Linked DNA regions of Notamacropus eugenii. The protein of the gene in region 1 interacts with the protein of each later gene in a biochemical or structural test. Links are inferred from orthologs where the notes say so. Each region holds a gene or a part of one and is shown on either strand. Other genes may lie near its edges. The genes, in order: JUP, CTNNA1, cadherin-1-like and DSG1.

Region 1 (7,537 bases):
TAGATGTCTTGTTGCTTCACTGATCTCTCCAGCCTGGGGTAGAGTCATCTGTGCTGATTACAGAGAGCATAGGATGGAAGTGGTTATTGATTTACAATGGAGTCCCTGGAGGAAGCAGAAAAAGGCAGGAAAAGTCTCCATAGCCTCCCTTCCCCCCAACTCTGGCTTTTCTTCAAAGAGCAAATTTTTTCAGAGGTCTCAACTAAGTCACCTCACTGCAATGACAACAGCAGCCTGAATTGATTTTAGGCTTTATCGTTTGCAAAGTAATCTTCTCACAACAATACTATGAGCTGGTATTATTAGCGTTTATTGTGACCAAGTATAATTAGCTCTGTTTTACACATAAGGAAACTGAGGCTGTGCATTACCATAATCATGGGGCTCATCTGTAGCAGAGCCTGAACCCAGAATTTTGGCTTCAAGTCTAAAACTCTTTCCACTTTTCTGCACAGACGCTTAGATCTCATATCAGCACTGAAATAATTTTCCACACCTTAGCTTGAATCTTGTAGTCAGAATCATGAGCAGGCTATTCTGACATGGGGGAGTGTCAAGACCACTGGGAGAGAAAGAGGCCCGAGTTCTAATCCTTGTTCCATGTCTGATGAGCTTAAATAGATCCCATCTTGTCGGTAGACCATTTTTCCTGTACTTTATATTTCTTTGTATCCCCAGCACTTAGCATAGTACCTAGGAGGTGATTAATAAGTGTCTGCTGACTGACTGTAAAATGAAGAGAATTAGCTGATGCTGTGATTCTTCCTTGAGAGTCTCTGGAAGCCCCTGACTTTGGGGTTGGAGGATAGGGGTGGAATGCTGAATCTCCTCCCCACTTGGAACATCAATGTATATATGGAGGGATGTGGGGAGGCAAGCAAATGGATGTCAACTGGTAGTATGGGTGCATGTTAGGACAGGCCTCTTCCCTTGCCTTGCCCAGCTCTGGGTTCTGGTGGGAAGGTGGGGCAGGTGGGATGGGTGGGGCAACTGCTGTGTCAGCTAGAAGAGTCAGAGAAGAAGCAAGTTTAAGAAGCTTGTGTTGTCTCCTCCAGCTCCCCGCTACATTTCCCTTCCCCCTCCCACTATGAGAACCACCTAGGTGTGTCAAAGGATTTCCAGAAACTTCGGGGGGGGGGGGGGGGGGGGAGATCCTAGGATAACAAAGCTTTACATATTGAAGCAGCCTTGGGGGAGAGAAATTTGGTCCTGAACTCCTGAGTGAGTTTTCCCCAACAAGAGACTTCTGGGGATTTTGTGTTAAAAATATAACGAGAACAGCTCAGGCTACCTGGGATGTGTGTTGAGCACAAACATTCTCTGGGATTTCATAACCGTATTCATGAACCTTCCAGATCCATCCCCTCCCCTGAGCCTGTATCTTCCTTTTCTCCCTCCCTTCCCCCTTCCTTCTTTGTCTCTGTTTCTGTGTCTTTCTGCTTTCCCTCTGACATTCCATTTCCACCTACATTTTTCACAGTGAAGTGTTTCTGGAGCCACATCAGTAATTAAGTACCCTCCCCAGTATGGGTCAGACACACCTCACCTACAGTGTCAAGCCACTGGGCAGTGAGACCTAGAGCTTCTCTCACACCTCCCCCCATCCACCCCATCTCTTCAGGCTACTGAGCACAAATCTCTTCTGGCTCTAAACAAGAGGGCTTGGTTGCTTAGGAAATCATCTCTCCCCACTTCTGCATCATATATCCCCCTTCCTAGCCCATAATGGTATCTCTGCTGAGGTATAAACCCTTACAGAAGCTTCAGGTTTCTCTCACTTACCCCTTATTCTGGTATCTTTCACCATGACCATCTGGGAAGTCCTTAGTTATCTAACCCTGTTTCTTGTGATAGACATTTACTATGTGGTTAATCAGGAACTAGCCTGATTCAACAATCCAAGGTCAGGGGTCACCAGACTAATCTCCCCTGGATACTTTTTTATTCTGACCACTCTTTAAGCCTGACCTGAGTTAGAGGGAAATGAAGTGTGTGTGTGTGTGTGTGTGTGTGCGTGCGTGCGTGCGTGTATGTGAATATACATATGCCTGTCTGTGAGTATCTTTCCTTGAGTCTGTGTATGGTATAGAGCTTCATGTCTATCCATATGTTTCCCAGTGTGGGTCTTGACTATTGATTTCTGTGCAGATGGGAATGTGAGTATAACTGTGTATGGGTCTCTATGCCTATGAATGTACAAGGTATGTGTGTATTTAAGTGTGGGTGGGTGGAGTGGAGAGGGGGTTCAAATAGCAAGAGAAAGCTTCAGCACCTTATATGGCCAGAGGCCTCAAATGAAGAGGAGGGGAAGGGGGAAGATAAGAATGAGAAGGGGAGCCTATTCCTTTTCTGGTATAATGGCTGCTAGTCAGGAGATCTCCCTCTCTTACTTCCACAGAAGCTCACTGTCTCCAGACAGTACCTCTACCTGCTCCCCTTCCCCCATACTACTTCCAGTCACTCTTTGGGCACCTCCATTTTCCAGTTACTTTTGTCCCCTGGGGGGCTGACTCCTTTTTATGAGTTAGAGTGAGATGGGAAACCCTTTCCCCCACTAAAAGTTGTAGCCCTAGAAAGCTGAAGTGAGCAGGGGAAGTGAATCCATCCTTTGAAGGCTAATGTCTCAGCAGCCACAGAAGTCTGGACAAGAGGAAATGGATTTAAACCACAGCGAGTGAATTTAGGTTCAAAACAAAACAAAACAAAGCAAAAACTTTCCACATGTTACTAGCACAATTGCACTTTTTCCGAAAGGACTTTGAGAATTTTTTTTCCTCAGAAGGAAAATTCCCTGACTGCTTGGTTTAGAAGCACAGAAATGGATGGCTTGACTGTCTCATCTTTCCCAAGCTCAGTTTGTGTCAAGAGAGAAAGAGAAAAAAAATGTCACTCTTGAAAATCGTTTAACTTCACCATGTTGACAGAAAAATAATCATGATCTCCAAGCTTCTAACAACAACACAAAACAATAAAAGAAATGTGACTTGGGGGATGTAGGAGAGGGGCAAGGTTTCTATAGGAGGAATAGGGAAAAGAGGTCCCTCTTAGTCCAGCTTCTGGGTCTTCTCTTGGCAATCTTTGCTTCTATTTCCATCCATAGTAACACCCTATACTTTTTAGTAAGGAACTGACAAGCTGGGACATGATGTTGGGTGAGACACCCTTGATTTATTGTTGGGGAGAAAGGCACACAATACTGTGTTCTATTCACTCCATTCAGAGATGTTATGTTTTTCTCTCTTGTTCCTGATACCTTTCACCTTCCCCTGCTCCCCACTCTCTGACCAAGTCTGTCCAGTCCTCTCCTTCTTATTGGGTGGGTCATATGAAACAGAGGTAGCCCAAGTAGGAGTGTGGGTGAAAACCAGGACACAGAGTGGGTGTTGGCCTTCAGGAAGGGAAACCCAAGCAACAATGGGGAAAAAAGCCCTTGTCCCCAACCAGAAAAAGTTTATAATTTGGCTGAAGTGCAGAGAGACTGGGTGGGTGAAAGCAATGTAGAGATGAAAATACCCAGAGAGGGAGCCACACAGGCTGAGGGGGAGGGTCCAGGACAGCAGGGCAAAGAGCATTTGGAAGGCTGAAGTGCTTGGCACTGTTGCAAAATCTTTCCTGCCTTCACCCACCTATTATCTCCTCCAGGAAGGGGGTAGGATGTTTGGTTATCAGCTGTTGGGCTGGGTTGGAAGGGACCACTGTGCCTGACATAGGATGCTGAACCCATTGTGAGCCCTTCTAAAAACATCCATTCAATAAATGGCCAGAAAAGAAAAGGCCATGTTTTACTCTCCGGGATCTTAGGATCACCGTGGCGTTCTCTCTCTCTCTCTCTCTCTCTCTCTCTCTCTCTCTCTCTCTCTCTCTCTCTCTCGCCTGCTGCCTGGTTTTCTTTAGCTTCGTAGACTTGTTTCTTCAAAGTCTTCTTTCCACCTTCACCCCATAGGTGGCTTTTCTTGGACTGTTGAGTTTGCATTCAAATCCTCTTTTCACTCAGTCCGAGGTCTTTGCCACCTGATGCTTACTTTTTTGGCCGCGGTGAATAATCCCCTTAAGGGAATTATTTCTTGATGCTGAGTTGGTTAGGCGTCTACACAGACGCGCTGCTTTCCTTCCCTACAGCCTCTCCCCTGACTCACCTGGTAGGACAGGTATGGGGGGAAAGGTGGGAGTAGGTTCTACCTGGTGGAGAGCGTGGGTGGGGCAAGACACACCCCAACCACTCCATTGGTTTCTCCCCGAGGCTTACTGACAGCACCTCACCCATTCACGAGGCAGTATTCCTTCTCTATCCAATAGACGCGGAATTGGGATCGGACCTCGGGCTGGGGTCTGGCCCTAGAGCCGACTGGCAGGGCACGAGGCCAATGGAGAGGCGGTAAACATAGGCAGTCGGGGCGGGGCGGATTCGCAGCTGGGCCCCGCCCCCCAGGGAGACGGGCAGGCCTCGGGACCAGTGACAACGCGGCAGCGGGTGGGCGTCGCCCCGGGGGCGGGGCTCCGAAGGGGAGCCCGAGGCGTGGCTTGGCTGTCAGGTCTCTTCGCCTTTTGTTCGTTTAGGGAGTTGCAGCCGCGGCCAGAGTCCGTAGCAGCCACCGCCCGAGCGGAGCAGATCCTCCGATCCAAACCCAGCCCAGCCCTAGTCCTGCCCGCTGCCCCGAGCCCAAGCCCCAGCCCGGACCCTGGCTACGAGCTCAGGTGAGGGACGCGTGTGGCTGGGACTGGGGCTGGGGGCGACCGTGACTCCGCGCGCGCTCGGGTGCGTGGGGTGGGGGCACCTTGAGGGGCGGGTCCGTGCAGGTGACATTTAGAGGAGGAGAGGAAGGGGGCGCCAATGGGAGGGGGGTTGAGGGAGCTTTGCCCGACTGGGCGGTGGGAGCAAGCGCCTACTTAGAGGGAGTGGAGAGGACGGTCGCTTTTGGAGCATTTGAGGTCTGGGATTGGTGGGTGAGTGGGTAGGGGACAGAAAGGCAATCGGGGTCGCGAGATTTTGCTTGGGGCGGGGGTGTGTGGTGGGTCAGGCTGGCCACTCCGAAGGGGGAGTGGGTTAGTGGAGGACTGAACTGGGTGGGGCTGGAAATGTGGAGCAAGAGATTGAGAGGAGGGTGAGTTTGGAGAGGGTGGATCTCTGTGGTCCTTTTTAAGGAGGGGTGGTGGGCAGCGGGGGCTTGGGAAGGGCTTTGGCTTCGTCCTGGAAAAGTCTGCTGGAGGGAGTGGGAATTGAAGGAGGGGTACGGTGGAGGGGAGGGTCAGGTACGGATACAGCACTGACCTCCCTGGCAGTGGCCTTAGTGGACTGGGATTGAGGGGGAGACTTTGACCTCATTTCGCGTGGTGAGTACATAGAGCATTTTCTCTCCCTCTGTCCAGCTGGGAATTTATAGTTAAGGAAACTTGCAGCTGGGCTGCACTCCCCGTCACCCCCTCAGTCTGCCTCCCCACCAAGCGTCATTCCTGCCCTCCTCTTCCACCCCCACCTCCCCAGGCCTGGGTGGGGCCCTATTGTCTGGGTCCAGTTTTCCGAGCTGTGGGGTCAGTATTCTTGCATTGGAGGCGGGATCTCCCCATTCCTGGTTTGCTGAGCAGGTGAATTTGGTGTTAGGCATAAATTTGGCACTGGGCATTAAACGGATCCCGGGTCCCAGGGAGTTAACATCAAAGTCCTAGATTTTCTTCTCTCTAATATGTGTTCAGGTTGCCGGGAGAAGAGGGTAGCTTATCTTGTTTTAGGGTATCTGACTTATTGTTGAGACTTGGAGAGGGCTTCAGAGAGGAGATGGTTTAATGAAAGGTCAGAAAGCTGCGGGATGGGGAATGGGGACCAGGAGAGCAGGAAGTTACTGCTAGTGTGTTCTTGCTGTGCTGTCATCTGACATGTATAGCTTAGAGACTCTGAGGACCATTTAGAGAACACCTGGTTCAAATACCTCATTTCACAGACTCTTATAACTAGTTATGGAAGGTTTATATGGGCCTCTGTTTGCCTTAGTTTCCTTAAATGTATATTGGGAATAGCACTTGCCTCGAATGGTTGTGAGGAATAAATGAAATATTTGCCAAGTGCCTAGCACAATGGTTGGCACACAGTAGGTGCTATATACATGTTTATTCCAACCCTCACCTGTCTTGCCCTTTGTCCTTTTTTTCCTTCCCTCCTGACCTTCGTCCCATCTTTTGGAAAGTTCATCTAGCAAGAAACTTTCTTGCTGTTCAGTCCTGTCTGACTCTTTCATGATCCCATTTGGGGTTTTCTTGGCAAAGATACTGCAGTGATTTGTCATTTAATTGTCCAGCTCATTTTACAAATTAGGAATATGAGGCAAACAAGATTAAGTGACTTGCCCAGGGTCACACAGCTAGTAAATGTCAGAGACTGAATTTGGGCTCAGCCTTTTGAGTCCAGATCCAGGGCTTCATCCATTGTGCCACCTAGCTTGCCCAATAAACTTTCTAGGGGGAATCACAGAGTCATAGATCTAGAGCCAAAGGACCTTCTGGGCCATGAAGTTCAGCTCCCTCCTCCTCAAGACCATCTTAACTCTGGACAGACCTCAGAATAGAGAGCTCAGAGTTGATCCTTTCTGATCTTATCCTTTCTCCTCCCCACTTCCATTCTGTTTACTAATCCCGTGGAGATAGAGGGAGCCCACTTGCACTTTTTTTCCATATCTAGGGGCGCCCCTGGTACCCCTCACCTCTCTTTCTTCCCTATTTCAGGCAAAGCCTTTGTAACCTTCTCCTGCAGCCACTACCCTCAGCCCAGAGTAGGAGATTGAGCTAGGAAAAAAATCCATGTGGGAGATGCCAATTATCTTATATTCTTACCCTGCCTTTTACCCTTTCTCATTCCCTGGTTTAATTATCTACCTCTTAATTGAGGAGGAAGCTAGCAGCAAGCAATAGGACTTGATTTCCACTTGATTACCAAATTATGAAGTTTGCTGAGGCGTGACTACTGCAGATCAGGTTGGGATCCGGGTCTTTTGAGGTACTCCTTGAACAAATCATAGGGTCAGAGGATTTTTACAGCTGGAAGGGCTTTCATCTAGCGTGGGTAGGGTTGGGTAGTCTGGTCCACGCTGGAGAAATGGTTGAAAGTTTCATGACTCCTTGGGTCTTGACCAAGAAATATAGCTCACATTTATATATTGTTTTCAGGTTGACAAAGCACTCTTCTCAATATGACCCTGCCAAGCAGGTAATGAGTGCCAATACTATTATCCCCATTTTAGAGATGAGAAAATGGAGGCTGGGACACGTAAAAGTGGCTGGCCCAGGGTCACATAGCTAGAAGGCAGTTCTGGAGGAGGAGAAAGAGGGTTGGATTTGGGTGTGCCTGAGTCTGAATCCCAGCTCTGCTGCCTATTATATACTTGGTTCACTGTTTGGCAGATCGTTTCAATTCCCCTAGTCTCAGTTTCCTCACCTAGGAAAAAAAAAGAGGATTTTGGACTAGAAGATTTCTAAGATACCTTCTAACCCTAAATACTCATAATCCTTTGTCAGAGATGAGATTTGGACTGAGGTCTTCTGACTACAT
Region 2 (7,228 bases), on another chromosome or scaffold:
GAGGATGAACACAGCATCACGGTCAATTGTCATTCTTTTATTTGAAAAGACTACAAGCCAAGACCAAAGTGGAGGGAGTGTTGGTGCATGATTTTCTGTTTGCAGATGATTGTGTACTCAATGCAGCCTCTGAAGCTGAGATGCAACAAAGTATGGATCAATTCTCTGCTGCCTGTGTTAATTCTGGCCTAATAATTAACACCAAGAAAACACAGATGCTTCAGCAGCCACCACCACACCATCCGTATGTGGAACCATCAGTTACAACAAATGGAGAAGTTCTGAATGCTGTGGATAATCTCACTTGCCTTGGTACTATACTTTCCAGGGATGTACACATTGACAATGAGGTTGATGTATGCATTGCCAGAGCTAGCTCAGTATTTGAGAGTCTCCAAAGAAAAGTTTGGGAGAGAAGAGGCATTAGACTGACTACCAAACTGAAGGTTTACAGAGCTGTTGTGCTGACCTCATTGTTATATGCTTGTGAAACATGGACAGTCTACTAGTGCCATGCAAGGAAACTGAATTGCTTCCATTTGAACTGTCTTAGGAAGATTCTGAGGATCACCTGGCAGGATAGGGTCTAGACACTGAAGTCCTTGCTCAAACTGAACTGACAAACATTCAAACTATGCTTCAGAGAGTGCAATTCCGATGGGCTGGCCACATTGTTCAAATGCAAAATATACGCTTGCCAAAAAGACTATTTTATGGAGAACTCATATGGGACAGGCAATCACATGGTGGTCAGATGAAGCAATACAAGGACACTCTCAAGTTCTCTTTCAAGAACTTTGGATTTGACTTTGCAACATGGAAGACACTGGCACAGAACCGTTCAGCATGCCATGCCCACATCAGAAAGGATGCTGTGCTCTTTGAGCAAAGCAGAATTGAGACAGCACAAAGTAAACATAGGATGTGCAGATTTGGAGTATCCACCCTAAATATTCACATGGACTATCTGTGCCCAACCTGTGGTGAGCATTCTGAGCTCATATTGGTCTGATCAGCCACAATCAGACACACTGAAATTTCACTTTATCATGGTGATGTCATTTTGGTCCTCTGTGAAGAGGAAGGACAACAACTAACCAGAGAGGGAAGCACCAACACCTGAGTTTTCAAAGCCAGGGGGCTGCTTGGTGGCTTCCCAGAGTCTCTCATCTGGCACACAAACCTTCTTCCAAAAATTAAGCCCCAAAGTAAAACCTCACCCTCAGAGTATTTATACACCTTTCAGAGTCACAGGGCATGATCCTCTGACCCAGTGCCTCAATAGAAAAAACAAAAGGTACTTGGGACCCTCCTACAAAACAAGTCTTTTAATCAAGATTCCCTCAATGGGCAGGCCCATCAATATGAGGGCTTAAGATCTTTAATCACATTATTCAATCAGAGTAAAAGAAAAACAGCAAAAGATTCTACTTTGCTTGGCCTTACATACATTTATGGAAAGAATAATGGACTTGGATCCTGGAGAGAACTAGAATCAAATCCTTCCTCCAAAAATTACTCACTATAGGCGAGTCATTGGATTCCTCTGAGTCTCAGTTTCCTCATGTGTAAGGGGAAGTGAATGATACTAGTAGTTCCTACCTTATAGGGTTGTTTTAAAGATCTAATTTGATAATGTTTGTTTGTAAGGTGCTGTCCTGGGCCTTATCCTCTTCTCTCTTACTATTTCACTTGGTCCCATTAGTTTTCATGGTTTCAGTGATCATTTCTGTGCTGATGATTCTCAGATTTACTTGTCTAGCTCTTACCTCCTCAGAACTTCAGACCAATTTCTCCAACTGCCTTGCAAATATCTCAACATGGATTTCCCACAGACATCTTAAACTCAAATGTCCAAAACTGAAACCAAATCTGAAAATTGTCTCCCTTTACCCTCACCCAAATCTCTTCCTATTTCCTTATTACTGTCCTGGATACCACCATCTTCACAGTCACCCAGGTTTGTGACCAAGGTATCATCAATTCCTCTCCCCCACCCTCCTCTAATGCAATCATTTGTTATATCTTGTCATTTCTATCTTTGCAATATCTCTCAAATATACCCACTTTTCTTGCCAGACACTATAACTGTTCAGGCCACTATGACTTCACACCTGGCAGTAGCCAGCTGGTTGGTCTCCCAGACTGAAATCTCTTCCCTCTCTAATCCATCTTCCACTCAATTATCAAATTAATCTTCCAAAAATGCAGGTGTGACCACATCATAATCCCCTTCACCCCCTTTTCAATTCACACTAATGGCTCCCTATTACCTCCAGGATCAAAAATGAAATCCTATATTCGGCTTTCAAAGCTCTTCATAATCTGGTCCCCCTTTTGCCTTTTAGTCTTCTTATACCTCATCCCCTTCCGTTTACTGTGAGATCTAGTGGCACAAAACAACTCTGAAATCAGAGTTGTCACTGGCTGTCCTGGATGCCTGGGATTCTTTCCCTCCTTATCTCTACCTCCTAACTTCCTCCAAATCTCAGCTAAAATCTCACCTTCTGCAAAAAATCCTTTTCCAGTTCTTCTCAATCATTACGCCTTCCCTTGGAGATCACCCCCAATTTATCCTGCATATATCTTGTTGCATATAAATTTTGATATGTTGTTTCTCCCATTAGACTTACCTCTTTGAGAGCAGGGACTGCTTGTTTATTTTGCCTTTTTTTGTTTACCCAGTGCTTAGCATAGAGTCTTACACTTAGCAGGTATTTAATAAATGTTAGTTGATTGATTGATTTTCCCTGGGTTAGTGGAAAGAGTGCTAGATTTGGTGTAAAAAAAGGTTGTTTTTGTTCAGTCATGCCCAACTCTTCATGGGCCCATTTGGGGTTTTCTTGGCAAAGGTACTGGAGTAGTTTGCTGTTTCCTTCTCCAGCACATTTCACAGATGAGGAACTGAGGTAAACAGGGTTAAGTGACTTGACCAAGGTCACATAGCTTGTAAGTATCTGAGTTCAAATATGAACTCAGATCTTCCTGACAAACTTGAATCCATTGGGCCACGTAGCTGTAATAAATTTGTTTGGCTATTCCTGAACTGATAGGCAACTACTTTGTTTCCAGTTCTTTGCTGCCATAAATATGTTGGTGCATGTAGAGAGGTTTAACTTTAACTCTTAGGTCAATTTCCTTCTTCTGAGAACATTTATTCAGAGTTGTAGTGCATCATTACATAATGAGGTACCTTGCATTCAAGTGGTGGATCAAATACAGAAAGGACAGGACTCCCACTTACAAGCCCCTTCATACTTAACCTCCTAATGTTAGGGCATGGAGTAGGTTAAGCTCTCCTCTCACAAAACCTAAATTGGGAAGACTTTATGCAAAATACCAAGGGAAATACAGTTTTCTTCAAAGGAATCTTTTGATATCACTTGGTAGTAGACACACCAAACTCTCAACGAATCTAAACGATGATCCTGCCCAACCATCGGTTATGTCGGCATTTTTGCAGGCTAGTACCAATTTTGCTGGTTATTCTGAAATGCAGGAGGTAGAATTTATCATTTAGTACTTAACGTTTAAGATTTGCTATCAGTTTTAGGGTGTATCAAGATTGGCCGCTCCCTGCCCTGCCCCATGTTGCGAGGGACGCTTTTTTTTCTTAATTTAGAGGGCAAAATAAAAGTGAGCTCTTACCTCAAAACTCAGTATGACTTTTCTGAAGGATTAATTCTGGGAACAGGACAAGCCTCAGGGGTCCCGTGGAGACATGCCTCCCATGCCTGGAACAGGCTAGGCGCTTAATAAACCTGAATTGAATTGAATTGGGATAGCCTAGCTCACTTACAGCAAAGGAAAGATATCTGAGATCCAGCTCAGTACCTGGCACAGAGCTCCTAAGTCTCAGGCTGAGGGGCGGAGCCTGCCTAAAAACCCCACCCTGAGACTCACCTGAGCCCCGGAGCCAGATGACTCACCTGCCCTGCCCCCATCCCCCTCTCTGAGCTCTTCCAGGGATTTTCTTCTCCTCCCCTTTCCCCTTTAATCTCTTCCTTACGCCTTCCCCACTCCAGGGGACTTTTCCATCCTGGGACAGCGGTTCAGGGCTTGGGGAGTTTGTCTCAGAGCAATACCCCACCCAGTCGCCCCCCTCTCCTCGAGAAATGTGTACAGTTCTCTTACTTGCAGGGAAAAGTCAGGGAGAGGGCGCGCGGCGGGAATGGCCGGAGCGGCCGCGGGGGAGGAGCCGGGAAGAGCGGCGAGGCGGAGCGGCCGCGGAGGGCGGTGCCGGGAAGAGCCTGGAGCGGGGCGGGGGGCCGGTGAGGGGCCGAGGGGCGGAGGCGCGGGCCACGGCCCATTTCCTCCTCGGGAGTCGGGACGGGAGACAAAGCGGCGGCGGCGGCGGCGGCGCTCGGCGTAGGGGCCTTTGGGATCCTCCTCTTCTTCCTCCTGCGCTCGCACCCCTCTCACCGCAGGTAACTCCCGGCGCTCCCTGGGCTCCGGGCCTGGGGCCCTCCGACGGACCCCGCCATTAGCTCCGGGGCGCCCCGCCCCGGCCTGCGCCCCTCCCGCGGCTCCCCCTGAACTTTGCGAGATTCGCGGGGCGGCGCCCCTCCCGGGCCGGGGAGTGCGGGGGCCTTATCGGCGGGGCGCCCCTGCCCCGCCACGCCCCGGGGAGGGGAGCGAGGCCCGGGGAGGTGGGGGCGCGGGGAGCGGGGCCCGGGCCGGGGTCAGCCCAGGTGGGCACTTTGGTGGGCAAGTGTGGGGCACTCCCTTCCAGGGCTGCGGGCGGGCTCCGCGGCGCCTCCCCCGCTCGGGCCAAGTTTCTCGAGGTTCCCGAACTAACTTTGTTAAGTTGTCGGGCGCGCCGAACCCTCCTTAACCCCGGCTCTGCCCGCACCCCAACCTCCCCCCGGCGGTGGCGGAGGTGGGGGGGCGCGGGGCGCTGGTGCGGGCGTCCAGCCCAGTCACTTCCCTTTGGAATAATTCGCATTTTATCCCCTGGGCGGGGCGGTGGTCCGCTTGCCTTGATTGGATTACTTTCCGAATAGTTTGATTGTTTGGGTTTTTCCAGTGGTTTCTCTTTCCTTTCTCCTTCCCACACCCGGAAATCTCTGGAATCTCGGTGGCGGAACCCAGATTCCACTTCCCTGGGCCATTTCACCAGGGAAAGTGATTCATTAAAAAAAGACTTCTGGCTCTCCGAAACTCGAGAACCTGATCCATTCGTGTTGGTTTTTAATTACGTAGCTTTGTAAATAAAATGGACTCTTAACTTGGATTGTCAAAGTACTCCCAACTTTTTATGCTAATGAATAGGACAGCATTTAACTCTTAACAATTTTAGTCTTGGTGCGGAAGGCAACCAATGGATAATTAATAATTTTGTAGTTAGATAACTAAAGTTTGCTTGTAATCTTTCAGGCAAAAATGAGTTTCCTGCTTAAGCTAAATGGGGACATAAACCGTGTTGTAACTTTTTTCCCACATTGGATTGTAGCTAAATAACATGAGTTGGAAACTTTGGTAGAAATGATCACATCCTTAGAGCTCCTTGATAGGGAAGCAGTTTTGATGGGGGTGGGGGAGAGGAATAGGGATTTCATTTTTCTTTTTATTAAAAGTACTGATTTAAAAACCTACCCATGCAGGTTTGCCTCACTTTAAGAAAATTAAAAATTATATAAATGTAAGTTATTCAAATAGTAAATATTGAGCACCTGTTACGTGCCGGTAATAATAATAACACTTGTTTATTGCTTTAGGGTTTCTAAAGTGCTTTTTTCACAATCCTGTGAATTTTTCCCATTTTGCGGATGAGAAAAGAGGAAAAGTTACCTTCTTGTGTCTGAGTCCCAGTGAAAGCCTAGGTCATCCATCTCAAAGTCCAGTGTGCCATCCACCATGCCGTGCTGTCCAGCACTAGACTACATGCTATTGGGGATGTAAAAGAAATATAAAATGTCATCTTTACCCTTGGAGACAGTCTGGTTATTGCCTCTGACCTAGTCTAAAACAAACTTGATCAAATCACTTACTGTTCAAAAACTTTGAATGTCTATTCATTCACTACAAAATGAAGGAAAAATCCTCCAGGCTGGCACTAGAGTTCTCCATAATAGGACATACTCCTTGCTTTTAAACCTTTTCTTTTTATGATCCACTTGTACCATTCATGTGGAGTCCTTGTCATTCACTGTTGTGAGGTGTGGTGTATTTGAAAGATTTTGGGTTCAAGTTCTGACTCTCCTTAGCCTTATAATGTCAAGTTCCTTTGTCTTGGTGTGAGACTCACTTTTCTCGACTTTAAAATGGGAATAATGAAGACCTGATTTACCTGGTTATTCTGCGGAAGATTTTTAGTAAACCTTAAAGCTCATTATCAAAGTGTGAACTACACCCTTTGTACCTTTTTTGCTTTTGATACAGCCATTCTCTCTATGTAGAATGCCCTTTTTTTCCCCTTTCTGCCTGATGAAATTCTGCCTATCTTTCAAGATCCAACTCAATTGTTGACATTTACATGAAGTCTTCTTACTTGAATTGGAAGCAGTCCCTGAAGTGCCAGGGTACTTTACTACTCATGACATTTTTTAAAAATAATTGTGTACTTGTCTTACCTCCCTCCCATATGTAAACTCCTTGAGGGTAAGGACTGTTCATATCAGTCTTTGTCTCAGCCACATCACTTTGCCACATAGGCATTCTATCAGTTTTTTTAATGAAAAAAATATAAAGTCTGTAACAGATAAGGATGTTTTTGCTCCTGCTGCTGTCACTGACTGGACATGTGATGGGTTTGTTTATTATCTGATGGATAGTTTTTTTAGAAATTGTTTATGTTAAATATGAAAACTAATTTTCATGAACTTTACAAACACTGCTAGTAAGAAAGTGTCTGAGGCTAGATTTGAATTGGGGACTTGCTGACTCCTAGTTCAGTGCTCTCACCAGCTGCTTAGGTGTTTTGTGGACATTTTTTTCCTTGTTTGGCATCACTATCCCTTCCTATTCTTCCTTAGAACAAATAGGACTAGTTTAGCAGAAACAGATCTGTATTTGCGTTGGTTGTTCCTAAACGAAAACTTTGGGACTCAGATTGGGAGTCTGAACACTGTGTTTTATTTTATAAGGTTATACAATCAATTAAAATATATCTGTTCATACTTTTATTTTTAGGTGTGATGAATAAGTTCCAGTTTGTTCCTCTTAGAACTGTTTCAGACTTTGGACCATAGAGAATGCTTGCTAGGATATATTTTGGTTCTCAGGCTGT
Region 3 (7,284 bases), on another chromosome or scaffold:
AAAAAAGGGAAAAGGTCTCACATGTACAAAAATATTTATAGCAGTTCTTTGTGGTGGCCAAGAACTGGAAATTGAAGGAATGTCCATCAATTGGGGAATGACTGAACAAGTTGTGGTATATGAATGTAATGGAACACTATTGTGCTATAAGAAATGATGAACAGGACTTCTAAAAAGCCTGGAAAGACTTATATGAACTGATACTGAGTGAAATAAGCAGAACCAGGAGAACACTATATACAGTAACAGCCAAAGTGTGGAAGGACTGTTTCTGATAGACTTAGCCCTTCACAGAAATGCAAGGACCTAAAACATTCCCAAAGGACTGTTGAGGCAAAAATGCCATTCATATCCAAAGAACTATGGAACTGAAATGCAGAATGAAGCAGGCTATTTTCTCTTGTGTTATGTTTTGGTTTGGTTTTTCTCATGATTTCTCTCATTCATTTTAATTCTTCTATGCAATATGACTAATGTGAAAATGTTTAAGAATGTATGTGTAGAACCCATATAAGATTGCATGCTCTCTCAGGGAGGGAGGGAGGAAGGGGAGAGAGAAAGGGGAGAGGGGGAGAAAAATTTAAGACTTATGGAAGTGATTGTTGAAAACTGAAAACAAATTAATTTTTTAAAAATTTAAAAAATGATATTTGTTTCCTAATTATTTCACATGTGCTTATTTGGCCTCTCCACTTATATTTCAACCGACTGAAAGCAAGGACAAAAAATGAATGTCTAAGGTAAGAGATGACCTCAAATTTTAGACTTCAAATCCAGCACTTTAGGGCTGATCTTGGGAATCAAGAAGACCACCTAAGCACATAATTTCAGGGTGACCAAGGGCCAGCCTTCAGGCAACTGTTTAAAATTAAGTTACAGTAGAATTGCTCAGAAAGGGGTGGAGGTTGGGGAGAAATTTCAACTTCGATAAAAATCACAAATCCTCATTTAAAAAAAAAGTCAATAGGAAAAACTAAAGTGAAACAGCAGCTCTCACACTGAAACTGGAAGATACCATATTTCACTCATTTACACAGTGAATAATATTCCAAACTTCCTCCTCACTTGGCCAGCCAGGAAGAAACTCAAACGTAATTATGATGGCACTGTGATAAGGCCAAGAAATGACCAACTCAATCACATGCTTTTCCTGAGTCAGTTATCAGGGCTGTTTTTTTTTAAAATCAATACCTATAGGAATATTATCAGTTCCATTTTTATCCCTAAGAAGAAAAATTCAATACTTTGCAAAGATGGGGGATGAGGGGACGCTCTTAAATAATTTAAGACTTTAGGTCTCGTACAAGATAATGAGACAAAAAGAAAAGTAGAGACGTTGGCAAGTTCAGTAAGTATTTGTTGAGGCGGGGATAATTTCCAAAGGGAAAAGGGATTCCTACACACAGAAAACCCAACATAAAGGTTAACTTCATCAAAACCCGAGCGCGAACTTTCCCCGCTCCCGCCCTCAATCCAAGGGCTGATCACTTTCCTAGGTCATCGATTCCCCACCCACCCCCTGGGGCTGGGCACCGGAACAGCAGGAACAGCAGCCGTTCCCCTCCCCCACAGGCCGCTTACCTTGGCCCAAGATTCGGCCTCGCTCCAGGTGTGGCCGGGACACCTCGAAGGTGTAACTTTCGGAGGCAAAGCCCGGACGGCAAAGCCCCGTGTCCTCGCAACGCCATAACGACGCCTAAGGGGGGAAAAGGGGAGGTTTGGGGTGACTGGGAGCTGGAGGGGGTTGCCTTCCTCCCCCGCACCGAAACCTGCCAGCCTCGCCCCAGTGGGGGTTGGGGGTGAAGACGGCCTGGTCCCGGGCCTTAGCCGCTCCCTCCCCACCAGAAATCCGTACAGCCGGCTGCTCCCAGGGGACTCGGAGAGTTTTGCTGAGGGGCGAGAAGCGGACCAGAGTCAGCTGTGTCCAGCCCAGACGGGTCAAACTTCCCAAATCAAAGCGACATTTCCCCTCCCTCGCAACCCGATCCCATCCAGCCAGAATCCCTGGGTCACCCTCCCCTCTATCCATCTGCCCTCCTCCAAACTCACACGCTCCCCAACTCTCACTTTTACAGGAGATTCCCACCCCGAGAAATGCCCCTTTCAGTCACAGATCCCATTAACCCTAAACACACTAGAGATCCGCCCCCCCCATACACCAGCTCTCCCCAGGCTCATCTCTCCCCCCTGCCCAGATCCACCACTTACAGTGTGACTTCAGGGCCAGCTCAGATTTCTCTCCTAAAACTTTGGGTACAATGTACCAAGCCCCCCCCCACACACATACACACACGCACAGACCCCAGAGAAAAGGAGAAGGGTGGCGACCGAGGGAGGTGCCGGATCGGCGCTAGGATCCCCTAAGCCGTGCGTTTCCCCACTTGCCCCCTCGCGGGGCAGTGCGCCAGCTCGTGGGCTAGAATACCCCTCGAAAGCAAACCAGTTCCCGAGGAGAGTCCCGAGTGCTGGAGTAAGTTCGGTCACCCATGGTGGGGGGGTGGGGTAGGAAAGGAGCACAGGAGGCGAGGGAAGCTTAGGGGAAGTGAAGGGAGGAATCAGAGGAAGGGATGGGTGTAAGGAGGGCTCCTCTGGGCTGTGAGAGGCCGGGGGCAGCCGAAGTTCTCTCCAGGGCAAGGATCAGCGTCTCCCCACATCTTTCTTTCATCCACCCGGAAAGTGCCCCATCCCCCTCTTGCTCCGGGGCTTTACCTGCAGCAGCAGCAGCAGGAGAGAGGTGAGGCTGAGACACCAATTCCGCCTAGTGCCCATGATGGGGGCGCCGGGGGTGCGGCCGCAGCTGGGGCAGGAACGCGGCAGGGGCTGGGGCCCGAGCGGCGCAGCTCGTCGGAGGCGCAGGTGGACCAAAGGTTTTCCAGTCACTTCCAGGGGCCAATACTGCGGCTCCAAGCCAGCGGCCAGCCAGGTGAGCCCCGAGGGACCCGCCCCGCGGAGCTGCTGATTGGCGCGCACGCACACCTGCGCCGGGAGGAGCCAATGAGACAGTCTGGATGGCCTAGCCCAGCCCAGGCAGCTCTCTTTCCCTTCCCTGCCCTGAAGTTCTCAGGCTGTCTACCCACCCCGGGCAACTGATCACTCCCTTTTCTAGCCCTCGGAGCGGTGACTTCTCATGTCTAAGTCAGAAGTTGAACTTCCGATCTTTCACCGCTGCTTGTGGTCGTCTGCATCTTGGAGAGCCCGGACAGTCCACAGCCGGACACCGAGCGGTACACATTCTAAAGAGTGGCATCGGTGGGAGAGCGGCTGCGAGTAGGAGAGAATCTCATTGCAAGATTCACTGAGAATGTCTTCTCCCTAAGTCCCATATTGTCTGGTAAAAACTGGGAGTGGGGGTGGGAAGATTCCAATACGCGGTGAGGGCTCTGAGTCGGGGAATCTCCTTATGAAGTAACTCATAGGCATCTGAACCTTTTGGGAAATGTCTTTTGATCATCTTTTATAGTGTGGTAGATTCCCACAGGTGAAAATGGTCCGCACAATCCAACCCCTCCTGAAGTAGGAATCCTCGCTTCAGCGTCCCTGGAAAAAGGTTAAAGGGTCAGAACGTATCACTAATTCCCAGACCCCTTCCTTCCCCCCTCCCCAACTTTCTTGCTTCTTGCCTGGGGATGGTCTTCAACTTTTCTGCATGTGAGGATTCTTTTTAAGTACAAAAACATTTCCAGAGCAGCGGTGACTGTAGTTGTACTATTAAACAAAAAACTTTCTAAGCGTTCATAACAACTTAAAAGTTACTAGTAAAATATAAATGTATTCAAAACCTTTGCAACAAAGTTTACATAATTCCAAAAAGTTGCATATTATTAGTTGGACTTACATAAAAAATCCAAATGACAATGATTGCTAGGCAGATGACATACTAGTCAAGTGCATTATTTGGAGTCTAGCCAACCACTATTACACATTTATTATGTACTGTGCACTTCCGTAAGAGCTGGAAAAAGATTGAGAGCTAAGGTCCTGGGACTACAACAAGGGAATGCAAATAGAAGCAAAAAAGAAAGTCTGCCCTCAAGGAGCTTACTTTTTAAAGGAAGAAAGACTCACCTAAAAGAAAGCTAAAAGCTGTTGGGAGGGGAAAAGAAAGAAGGAGCCTATTGAGAAGGAACCATGGAGAAAGATGTGAAGAATCAGTCATGTCAGAGGAATGAAAGAGCATTATGGCTGACCTGAATTCTTCCTTAAAATAAAGGTTTCAGGAGAAACTAACCAAAGAGAAGAAGGGAGAAGAAGGAATCTCCCAAGTTGAGAAGGCAGCAAAGTACAGGGCATCTCCCAGGGTGAGATGGCATCAGGGTACAGCCACCTTCCACAGTAAGAAGGATGCTTTTGAGCATGGTGACTTCCCAAGCTAAGAAGACTTGGAACATGGTCAAGAAAGTTCTCAGAGTTAGGAGAAGAACTGGAGAGATTGGTGTTAAATAAAAATTAAAATGTCCATAGGGGTGGGAGAATATAGATTTCCCTATCCCTTGAAAAAACCCTTGCTATTTGTCATCCATCATAAACTGGGAATCACTGACCTAGAAGATTATTAAGCCCACTTCCAGTAATGAATCCTAAGACCATCTTCTAAACCTGGAAGGAACTTGATATCAGGTAATTTATACTCAAGTGTGAATCATGTCACAAATTCAGAGTTGGAAGGGACAGCTCCAGCTGCCTTCCCAGTGTTCCAACCTCCTCCCCTAGATTTGTCCTGGACACTCCATTTGGGCAGATGTCAGAAGTAAGGTCAGTTTTCTTGTCAGTAATTCATATTTTACTTTTACTTTAAAACAAAATTCAAGGTATTTTCCTACACCAAAGCAATGCCATTCTTATCAATTGCACTTAGAAGATGTGGCATATTTTACTTGTGGGTCTGTGTAGTGTAGACTTCACACAGGGTAATCATAAAAGATATTCTCATTTCAATACTTTTATCAGCTACCACTTTATTTTACAATTACCTTCCAATGGCATGCTTGCATTTTCAGGTTGCTCCTTTGGGATTGAAGCCTTGAAAGAGGAAACAGGAACAAATAGAGGAAGTTAAATATGGGGCAAACACCTAAAATAATGTCCAGAATGCCAAGCCCTCAATCAACAGGCATTTATTAAGCACCTACTGTGCACCAGGCATTGAAGTAGGGGCTAGAAATAAAAATATAATGAATCAAAAACTTAAGTTATATAGGAGATGACAAGTAGATAAATGGATAGATAGATAGCTAGATAGTAAATGGATGGGTAGATAGGTATATGTATGAATATACACATACATATTATATATCTGGATATAAAGACAGTTTCAGCTTAAACTTAAAACTGCACTGAGATTTTTGGAATACCCTGTATTTAACTATTTTGCATTTATTTTATTTATATATATATCTATATTATATATGCATATATCTATACACATAAGCTTTATTAAAGCTTTAAAGTTGCACTGAGACTTTTGGGACATCCTATACAGGGATTTTGAGGGGAAGGGCACTATAGGATAGGGAGAGTGGGTCAGAAAAGGTTTCACATAGAAGATGATGCTTGAACTTCTATGAGTTGGAAATGAAGAGAAGAGCGTTCCAAGCATGGGGGTAGGCAGGTCAGTGGAAAGATACCAAGTATGTTAGGGAAAAGCCAGTTTGATTGGATCACAGAGTATGGCAAGAGGAGAAACATTCATTGAGGCTGAAAAGATAGAATTGGGGTAAGGTAGGGAGAGCTTTAAAAAACAAAACAAGTTTCTGTTTATCCTGGAGATATTTATCCTGGAGGCTAAGGGTAGTGGATAGTATAGTGGATAGAGGACTGGTTTTGAAGTCAGGAAAGAATTCTTTTCATGAGTTCAAATCTGACCTCAGACACTTACTAGCTGTATGACCCTGAGCAAGTCATTTAACCCTGTTTACCTCAGTTTCCTCATCTGTAAAATGAGCTGGAGAAGGAAATAGCAAACCATTCTAGTATCTCTGCCAAGAAAACCTCAAATGGGGTCACAGAGAGTCAGATACAATTGAACGATAACAAAGACTACAAGGGCTGATGGACCATTGGCCAGAGCACGTTGTTTCCCTTTAACATGTGTGTTCCACAAAACATGGCAAAATAGAAAGGGAACTTGGTTTCCTGTCTTGCTTTGGCTCTAGGATCTTTAGTGAGTCACTCCTTCTTAAGGCTTCCATTTCCTCATTTGTAAAAAGAGGGAGCTGGATTTCCATGGTCACCTCCAGCTCCCAGAATCCTGGGAATGAAGCTGTCCCAAGAGGGGCTAATCTCATTATTTAAGGAACAAGCCACAAAATGAGAAAAGGGGAAATGTGATTAACCAGGGATAGTTCTATGACAGGAATAACTGACATCTATGTAGGACTTTGAGGTAACAACAAAAATAAATGTAATTTAGAAAGATAGACAGGGAAACTACATTTTGCTAGAAGATAGAATAGACAATGAATTAATATCAACACTAAATATATGCCTCAAGTATCACAATATCCAAATTCTTAAAGGAAAATTAAATGAATTGTTGGGAGAAATAAGCAGTAAGAGTATAATAGCGAAGACCTCAGTTTATTCTGCTTAAACCTATATAAATCTAACCAAAAAAAAGAAAGGAAAAAAAATGAAGGGGCTGAGTAGAGTTTTAGAAAAGACCTCTGGAGACAATCAAAAAGTAATAGCAACTTTTTTTCTCCGTTCTGCATGGTACCTTCACAAAAAACTGATCCTATATTAAGGCATATGAACCTCACAAATAAATATAGAAAAGCAAAAACATTAAGTACATCTTTTATGGACCAAAATGCAATAAAATTATATTTAATTAAGAAATAAATTGTGTGCTTTCTACAAAATCTCTAGGGGAGAAAAGCCTTCCTATGTGAATTTCTTTTTTTATTTAAGAACTTATAAAGAAAAAAGCTGACTGCAAACCGAGTTAAAATTGTTTACCAGCTCTCCCGTTCCTCCAAACCCCATTCCCTCCTTATTAATGGATTTCAGATCATGTGCTGAGGTCATTTGGGTTTATACATTTTAGCAGTAGCTACCACCAGGATAGATCAGTGGAAAGAAGATACAGTACATTTCCTTTCTCGCCAAGGCTCCTGCATTAAACAGGATAATGGAAATGATGAGAGAAACTTTTCCCCCCAGAGGCTAACTGGTCAGTTTATTTTTTTCCAGTTATATAAAAATATGTACTTTATATGATGTCTACTCACTAAGCCATCAATTCTTTCCTTTGCTCCTCCTCGAAAGCCTTCTAGTTCTAATTCC
Region 4 (7,085 bases), on another chromosome or scaffold:
GACAAGTTACCACCCTCCCATTTTCCCCTTCTATTCAATGTTTTATGGATTACTAAGTGAATAAAATAACTGCTGTACATTCCCCTTCCATAGGTTATCTGAAATAATCCTCAGTACAATTTCAACAGCAGGAGGACCATGAGGTTGGTACAATTCTCTTCCTATTCCTCATTATTTTTCTCTTTGACCCACTCCCTACACTTGGAAAACTTTTTGTTCCAGGGAACTTCAAGATTATGGACAATTAAGATAGCAACAATTATGAAAACCATTGTTTTTACGTATTTACAAATCACCTTCATGTCTGGCAAACCGTGGTAAGTTTGGTACATGAAAACTGTCTGTTCCCAGTACAGTTCTCCAGGATTTTGGAAGCATCCTCATGGCTGTGGCATAGGGACTTGTTATCTATTGGCCCATGAAAGAGAGCAAGCTTCTGATGTATGATGGAAGTCACCAGGTCATGACTTGCTATGTATTTAGCACAACCTAAATTTTTTCAGGCTGTAGCGATATATTATACTGTTCTTTATAATAATCATTATTTTATTACTCAAGAATTGTGTTCCATAATGTGCAAATGGCTAGGCCTACCATGACATATTAACAAGATGAAATAGTATATAATTATTAAATGACAATTATGTGGATTATGTCAAAGTTAAACACAATTTATGCATCCATACTACATGTATGCATTATATATACATAAAAAAATGTATGTCACAGTCTATAGAATAGGAAGGAACTTTTCCTATCATAATAGTATGACATAGACCAACAACTTCATTTGAAAGGTAGGGTAATTGAGGGACAGATAATATAAGTGAGTCATCCAAAGTTACATGAGTAATAAATCCAAGTCTTTTGGGAGAAATATGTATAGCCTTCCTGGACCTTCATTCGAATCTGTCTTAACAGCTATCTCTGTGTGTAATTAGCAGGACCAATCTCAATGGTAAATAATTAGTAATAATACCTATAATAAATGTAAATTAAAGTTAGTAGTTCATTTTTAAGTTGATATTTACAATATTTTAAGATGCTGAGAGGATTGAAAAACATAGAAAATTGATATAAATTACAAGACTATTATTTCCTGAGAAATAGGAAAGTAATCAAGGTATCATAGGAGAATTCTGATTAATGTAGTATTCCCCATCAGTTTTCTGGGGAAACTCTGGACACAAAAAATCACTTTAAAGCAGGTACCATTTTTGAGAAATGAGAGTGGCTCTAGGTAGGGGTATGCTGGTAAATGTTTTAACAATAGGCTCCCCAAAAACATACAACATACTTTTAAATTTATTCTGCATTATTAACATTTTCTTCATCACTTTCTTAAATGTGGACAATCAATAAAACAATAAACCAAGCTCTGATTTGTAATATTCCCCAATTTTCATGATGCAAATACTTACATTGAAAATCATGTTGAGATTCCATGAAGCAAAGCAAACAGAGGCTTGGACACAACATGCACATGGAAGAAAAAATAACAACAGAAGATTCTGTAAGTAGGGGAAGGGCTCAGTTCAGGGGACTTTAGATTAGCTAGGCTCAGTGGGCAAATAGATTCCTATGAAGTGGAAACTGGTTATCAGAAGAAATAGAATAAAAAAGCATTTAGTATTTGCCAAGCACTATCTAATTGCTGAAGATAGAAAAAGAAAGGCAGTCTCTGCTCCCACACTATAACTGGAGGAGAAAGTATATAAAAGAAAGTCCACTTAAATCAATGGAAAGGCCAAGAAATCCTAAAGATGTTGCAAAGGGAAAGATGGCAAAACACAAAGGTCGTTAGGATATATAAGAAGGTCGGATGACAGAGTCAACGGTCTGGAGGACATAAAGGCAGGGCAGGTAGATGACAAGGCTTACTGGTCCTCCTTCTCACAGGAAACCATAGAGATGGTGATTCTCATCTCATCTAGTAATGTGAGTATTCAAGAAGACCACATTAGTTGTGGGTTTTCAAGGGGGAATGGGAAAAAGGGGAGAGATAGTAAAGGCATGGAAAAGAATGAAAGAATTAGTTTATTGATAAGGGGTAAGTGAGAAAAAGGAACTTTAAGGAAAAGGAGAATATAGACATGAGACATCAAAGGCAAGTTCTTAAGAATTGGGGAACAGTAGAAGCCTATGGTAAACCAGCACTCAATAATAAGGCAGATGCTGATGTGTACAGGTCAGATTGCAATAGAAAATGACATAAATATGGAAAGGTTATAGGAGAAGTGGTAAGAGATATCCTCACCCTTCCACCCTTTCCCTACTCTACCATCACTGTTCCTCAGGTAACTTGTCAAGGGAGTAGCTACGGGTGCTCCAGAACCATGGAATTCTCCCACATTTCCTTTTCTGAGTAGTGTCTAAGTGGCTGAGGGATGAACTGAGAGCCCCTTGTTGGGACAAGGCCCTCAACTGGGATGGAGTCATGAGGTATATTTGGGGCAACATCAGATAAGAGACTAGAACTATCTATGGGGAAAGAGGGATAAGATTATATGTTTATGCTCCAACTCAAGGTCCAATGGTATAAATCATACATACTCAACCAGTAGAATGGATAGGCCATTTCCTCTTGAATCCCTCTGCCATTTTTAGGTCATCCAATTCTACTACTAGCTATTGTTGTGAACACATCATGGAGCATCACTCTCTTTAACTCACTAATGATAAAATCTGGCCTGACCACCACAATTCATTATTTTTATTTGTATCAGCAAAAGCTTAGCAGGGCAACCAACTGCTCAATCCCAACTGATGTTTGACTAAGATCTGTCAAAGTAGAGGCAGCCTCCTCCTTCCCAGTTTGCAGAGATCCACAATGAGTAACTAGAGATCCATGTATGTCCTTATAAAGTTGAATGGCTATTCTTTTCTCATGCACACATAAAGAAAAGTCATCTTCCACACAACGGAGAACCAACATACTACCTTTGTGACATCTCTTATTCATTTCCTAATTGTCAACAATTAACATACTTCTCTCCAACACTAACACAGTGCCAAGCACCCCTTCTAATTGCCTCCCTCAAACCATTTCCTGGAGAAGAAAAGATATAAAAATGATTTCAAAGTTACCATTAAATACTACCCCATAAGAGCTATTACTTCTTTTCAAAAAACCAGGTACCTCATTCCATTTCCTGTCTTCACATGTGGGTGGCCAGGTCTCCAGCATATTTCCTTTGTTCTAATTGGCTGACTTCCTACAATCTTGGCTCAGGTTATGCTGTTTTTATCAACTATTTTTTAGCCTGGCTGACCTAAACCACAGTTTTCTCTTATGGTTCAATTGGGTGTATCTGGCTCTGGTCAATCTGTACTGAATATGTCATTAAACTTTTCCTTATTATCTATTTTTTTAAAATTCTAGGAAAGTCAAGTTCTAATTCTGGTTTTTATGTAAGTGTGCAGAGCAGGGACAGGAATAAAGAAAGAAAATTAAAAAACTGATTTGGAGGAGGGGAAGAAGAATTTTCCACAGAGAGGACTGAGCTTAAGCAGGACACTCAGGGACATACCTGTTGCCATCAAGAAGAGTCACGGTACAAACCAGAGAAAACTTTGTAAGTCAGATCATCACAATCATTTTGTTTCTCCAAATAAATGACAATATGATCTCTCAACTCTAATAAGACCTTCAAGTTATTTAACCATCAGCTTAGCAAATATATGGTTCCTCCAGCTTATACTTTCTCTAGATTCGCTCAAGTCAGATTTGGTCATTTCTTCCTGTGATCTGAAGCTTTGATTATCTAGTCACCAGAATGTCTACCTTGCCCATAACCTATATACAGACTACATTTCTCCCCGCATCCCCTAGGATAAGAAGATAAGGTCACTCTTATTACCCAGCACAGTGGTAAGGAACTTGTCCATTTTTATCCTTTTTTAGGTTTTGAATAATTTTAAATTATTTCACTTGAGAACCTCTAGAGAAAGACTCTGCCCCACAGAGAACTGCTTTCAAACTAGAAGGGCGTGTCCCATAGCTTTTACCTGGGAGCAATAATGATCTTGTCAGGCATTTCAGTGAGACCAGCCCAGGATTTTGGGGTGGGGATACTGACTGGTTATACGTACCTTCAGTCCTTCCTTCTCAGGAAGGCAGAAACATCTCAAAGCCTGCATGTAAGAACATCTACCAAGATCTTTTTTTTTTTTTTAATTAGGCACCAGAAGAGGGGGGGGTGGGAAGAAAAAGAAACAGAAGTCAAAAACGTAACTACCTGAGACCTGGATGTAAGAGCTATCAGAAGCAATGGACTGGTCCCTGTACAGAACCACTGCTGTTCTGTTCATTTTAGGGGTAAGTAGATCCATTTTATAAATCGATAAAATTTGTCTGTATAGCTAATGAGACCAGTTCAGGCTACAGCCTGGACTAACAGTTCATATTAATGACTGGGAAGACTTTTATAAGTCACATTTGCAATTTTTTTTTCTTTTAAGACTACCAATGCCTCACTCAGGGGCCAGTCTTTCATTTTGCACCTCAAAATAATAACATTCCAAAGACATGTTGGATTTTGAAAATTCTTAGCACTGCCTAACATGTTAAAAGGTTAAAATTTTGAATACTGGTGTAGGTGAACCTTTTCAATTATCAAAGCACTGACTCTCTCTCTCTCTCTCTCTCTCTCTCTCTCTCTCTCTCTCTCTCTCTCTCTCTCTCACTCTTCCCTCCCCACCCCTCAACAGCCGAGGGATAATACATTGCCAAATTTTAATCAATGAAATAAAACAAGACTAATTCATTCTGTAGCCATATGTAACTACTAACTTTTGTGAAATGAAGAGGGTGGATAAGATAAACTCAGTTGTAAATCTCAAGATTCTAATTTTCCTCCTGGAACCTCAGCATGATCAGGGTATAGTCTTGATACTTGCATAAATTTTCTTGAAAGCCCAAGTGTCTCCAGAAGGAAAAAGTGATTTTGTTATATTTGATGGTTTCAATAAAAATGACAGTACAGAAAATTTATAAGTGATGAGGCATGTAAAAAAAACTGTTATAATGAAAGGGTTATTGTATAATCATCACTATGGCTTTTCTCACTAGCGGAAGGTCAGTTTGGCATAGTGGAAAGCTGTTAGACTTGGGGTCAGGAGACCTTGGTTCTAAACCTTGCTCTGTTCAGACACCCCTGTCTCTGTGACTTTCGGAAAGACACAACCTGAGTTTGCTCACCTACCTATATAAAAATAATTATAGTAATAATAATATTACTACCAGTACTACCTACCTCATAGTGTCGTTGTGAGGAAAGCACTTTGGGAACTTTAGAGCTCTCTATAAATATGACCCAATGTTATTTTATCCTGCTTCCAACACCTGTGAGCCCTGGCACAAGTCTTGGCACTTTCCTGGGCCTCAGTCTCCCCCTTCATAAAATGAAGAGGTTGAATTAGAGCCTCTGAGGTCTTTTCCAATTGTAGATTTATGATCCTCTATTCCCAAAGCCTGACATTAAAAATTGTATCCAATGGTCAGAGTATCACTTAGGACAAAAAGGCTGAATTTTTTAAAGTATATTAGGATGTGATCTAAGTTGTAGAATCATAGAATTTGAGAATTAGAAGGGACCTCAATAACCATGTAATCTAAATGTTTTCATTTATTGAAAATCAGTTTTTCTTTTTTTTTTCAAAACTTAGGATAATGGAACAGTCCTTCAAAGTTGCAAGAGAACAATAATTTTCATGGGAAGTTTTGTTTTTTAATGAAAATTCCACACTAAAAAATAAACAATACATGGTTTATCCTTTACAGAGTATTAACAATAACTTCTTGGGAATTTTGTTCATAAAGTACATAGTATTATATATACTTATTTCATATTTTGAAAAATTCATCAAAAACACTAATGTCTTTCACAGAAAGTTTAAAGTAATCCCAAAAGGCAGGTGCCAGCTAAATTATCCTTGAACTTGGCAGGAGACGGTGTCTTGGTTCATATTTGTTTCTACTTGCTTAACTTAGGTCTGGAATGCTGGTTCTGTTTAATAACAAGTTAGGTCTTTGATTCAGTGAATGGTGGTTAGCTAAAATGGAGCTGATGGATTAAACTGAACTGAAACTTGAACAAATTTAATTATGAAAGAACTTCATGAGTTGGTAGTACGTCTACTTTAAATGGATATTGTTCTAAACATTAGTCCCATTTCATTACTCTCTCACAGAACTTTTGGATTTGTTCATGGGGAAGGGGAAGGGAAATCCCTCAATCCCTCAACATCCCTCAAATTATGACAGCATTGGGGCAGCTGGTGTTACAGTGGGTTGAGTCTGGAGTCAGGAAGATCTGAGTTCAAATCTGACCTCAGACACTTACTAGCTGTGTGACCCTAGGCAACCTCTGTTTGCCTTAGTTTCCTCAAATATAAAAACGGGTAATAATAGCACCTGCCTTTCAAGGTTGTTGTGAGGATCAAATGGAAGGATCAAAATTGTAAAAAGTGCTTAGCACAATACCTGGCACATAGTAGGCTTTATATAAATGCTTATTCTTTTCCCCTTAAAGTATGCCATAGGAATGGGAAAAAATATTGGTATCAGAAATTAGCATAAAATTGTTCCTTTTCAAATGACCACGGTTCCCCCTCCAGCTCCATGTATATTCAGTTCAGTCAGTTAATTCTTATCATGGATGCAGCAAATTAAAATTTATTTTCAGTCCTTTCCACAATGAACTTTATAACTCAACTGGTAGTTTATTTTTTATTTATGCAATTTTTCTACTCAGTTGTATAATATTTTCATTCTATATGATAAAATTTCTACTCCATAATAAAATCCCCCTGCTAATTTAGTAAATCCTTCAATTTCCCCTCCCTTCCCAAAAAATCAGTTTCCCAGAATCACATGCTCTCTGCATTATTCTTATATGGAAATAGACTTTCAGGGTGTTTGTTATGTCTCAGTGAATCTGACCAGTTTTTATCTTCCATTTATGTTCAACCCAATAAAAATCAATTAAGCAGGTTGTGTCTAGAAAACTATGACAGGTGCTCAGAGATATGCAATATTTAGATAAGGCTTGATCCCTACCCTCTTAGAGTTTATAACCATGTTC

Evidence for each region.
Region 2: the proteins of JUP (region 1) and CTNNA1 form a complex in vitro, tested with the Homo sapiens proteins (2 studies listed by BioGRID). The link is inferred for Notamacropus eugenii from reciprocal best matches to the Homo sapiens genes JUP and CTNNA1.
Region 3: the proteins of JUP (region 1) and cadherin-1-like form a complex in vitro, tested with the Homo sapiens proteins (2 studies listed by BioGRID). The link is inferred for Notamacropus eugenii from reciprocal best matches to the Homo sapiens genes JUP and CDH1.
Region 4: the proteins of JUP (region 1) and DSG1 form a complex in vitro, tested with the Homo sapiens proteins (2 studies listed by BioGRID and IntAct). The link is inferred for Notamacropus eugenii from reciprocal best matches to the Homo sapiens genes JUP and DSG1.

Annotation. Positions count from the first base shown.
Region 1 is NC_092873.1:358,227,409-358,234,945, reverse strand, and holds the start of JUP (junction plakoglobin), read left to right. Parts: upstream 1-4,532; 5' UTR 4,533-4,695; intron 4,696-7,537. UniProt on the Homo sapiens protein: Common junctional plaque protein. The membrane-associated plaques are architectural elements in an important strategic position to influence the arrangement and function of both the cytoskeleton and the cells within the tissue.
Region 2 is NC_092872.1:366,016,450-366,023,677, forward strand, and holds the start of CTNNA1 (catenin alpha-1), read left to right. Parts: upstream 1-4,228; 5' UTR 4,229-4,427; intron 4,428-7,228. UniProt on the Homo sapiens protein: Associates with the cytoplasmic domain of a variety of cadherins. The association of catenins to cadherins produces a complex which is linked to the actin filament network, and which seems to be of primary importance for cadherins cell-adhesion properties.
Region 3 is NC_092872.1:708,186,280-708,193,563, reverse strand, and holds the start of cadherin-1-like, read right to left. Parts: upstream 3,014-7,284; 5' UTR 2,770-3,013; coding exon 2,710-2,769; intron 1,697-2,709; coding exon 1,582-1,696; intron 1-1,581.
Region 4 is NC_092875.1:257,982,198-257,989,282, forward strand, and holds the start of DSG1 (desmoglein-1), read left to right. Parts: upstream 1-4,082; 5' UTR 4,083-4,270; coding exon 4,271-4,318; intron 4,319-7,085. UniProt on the Homo sapiens protein: Component of intercellular desmosome junctions. Involved in the interaction of plaque proteins and intermediate filaments mediating cell-cell adhesion.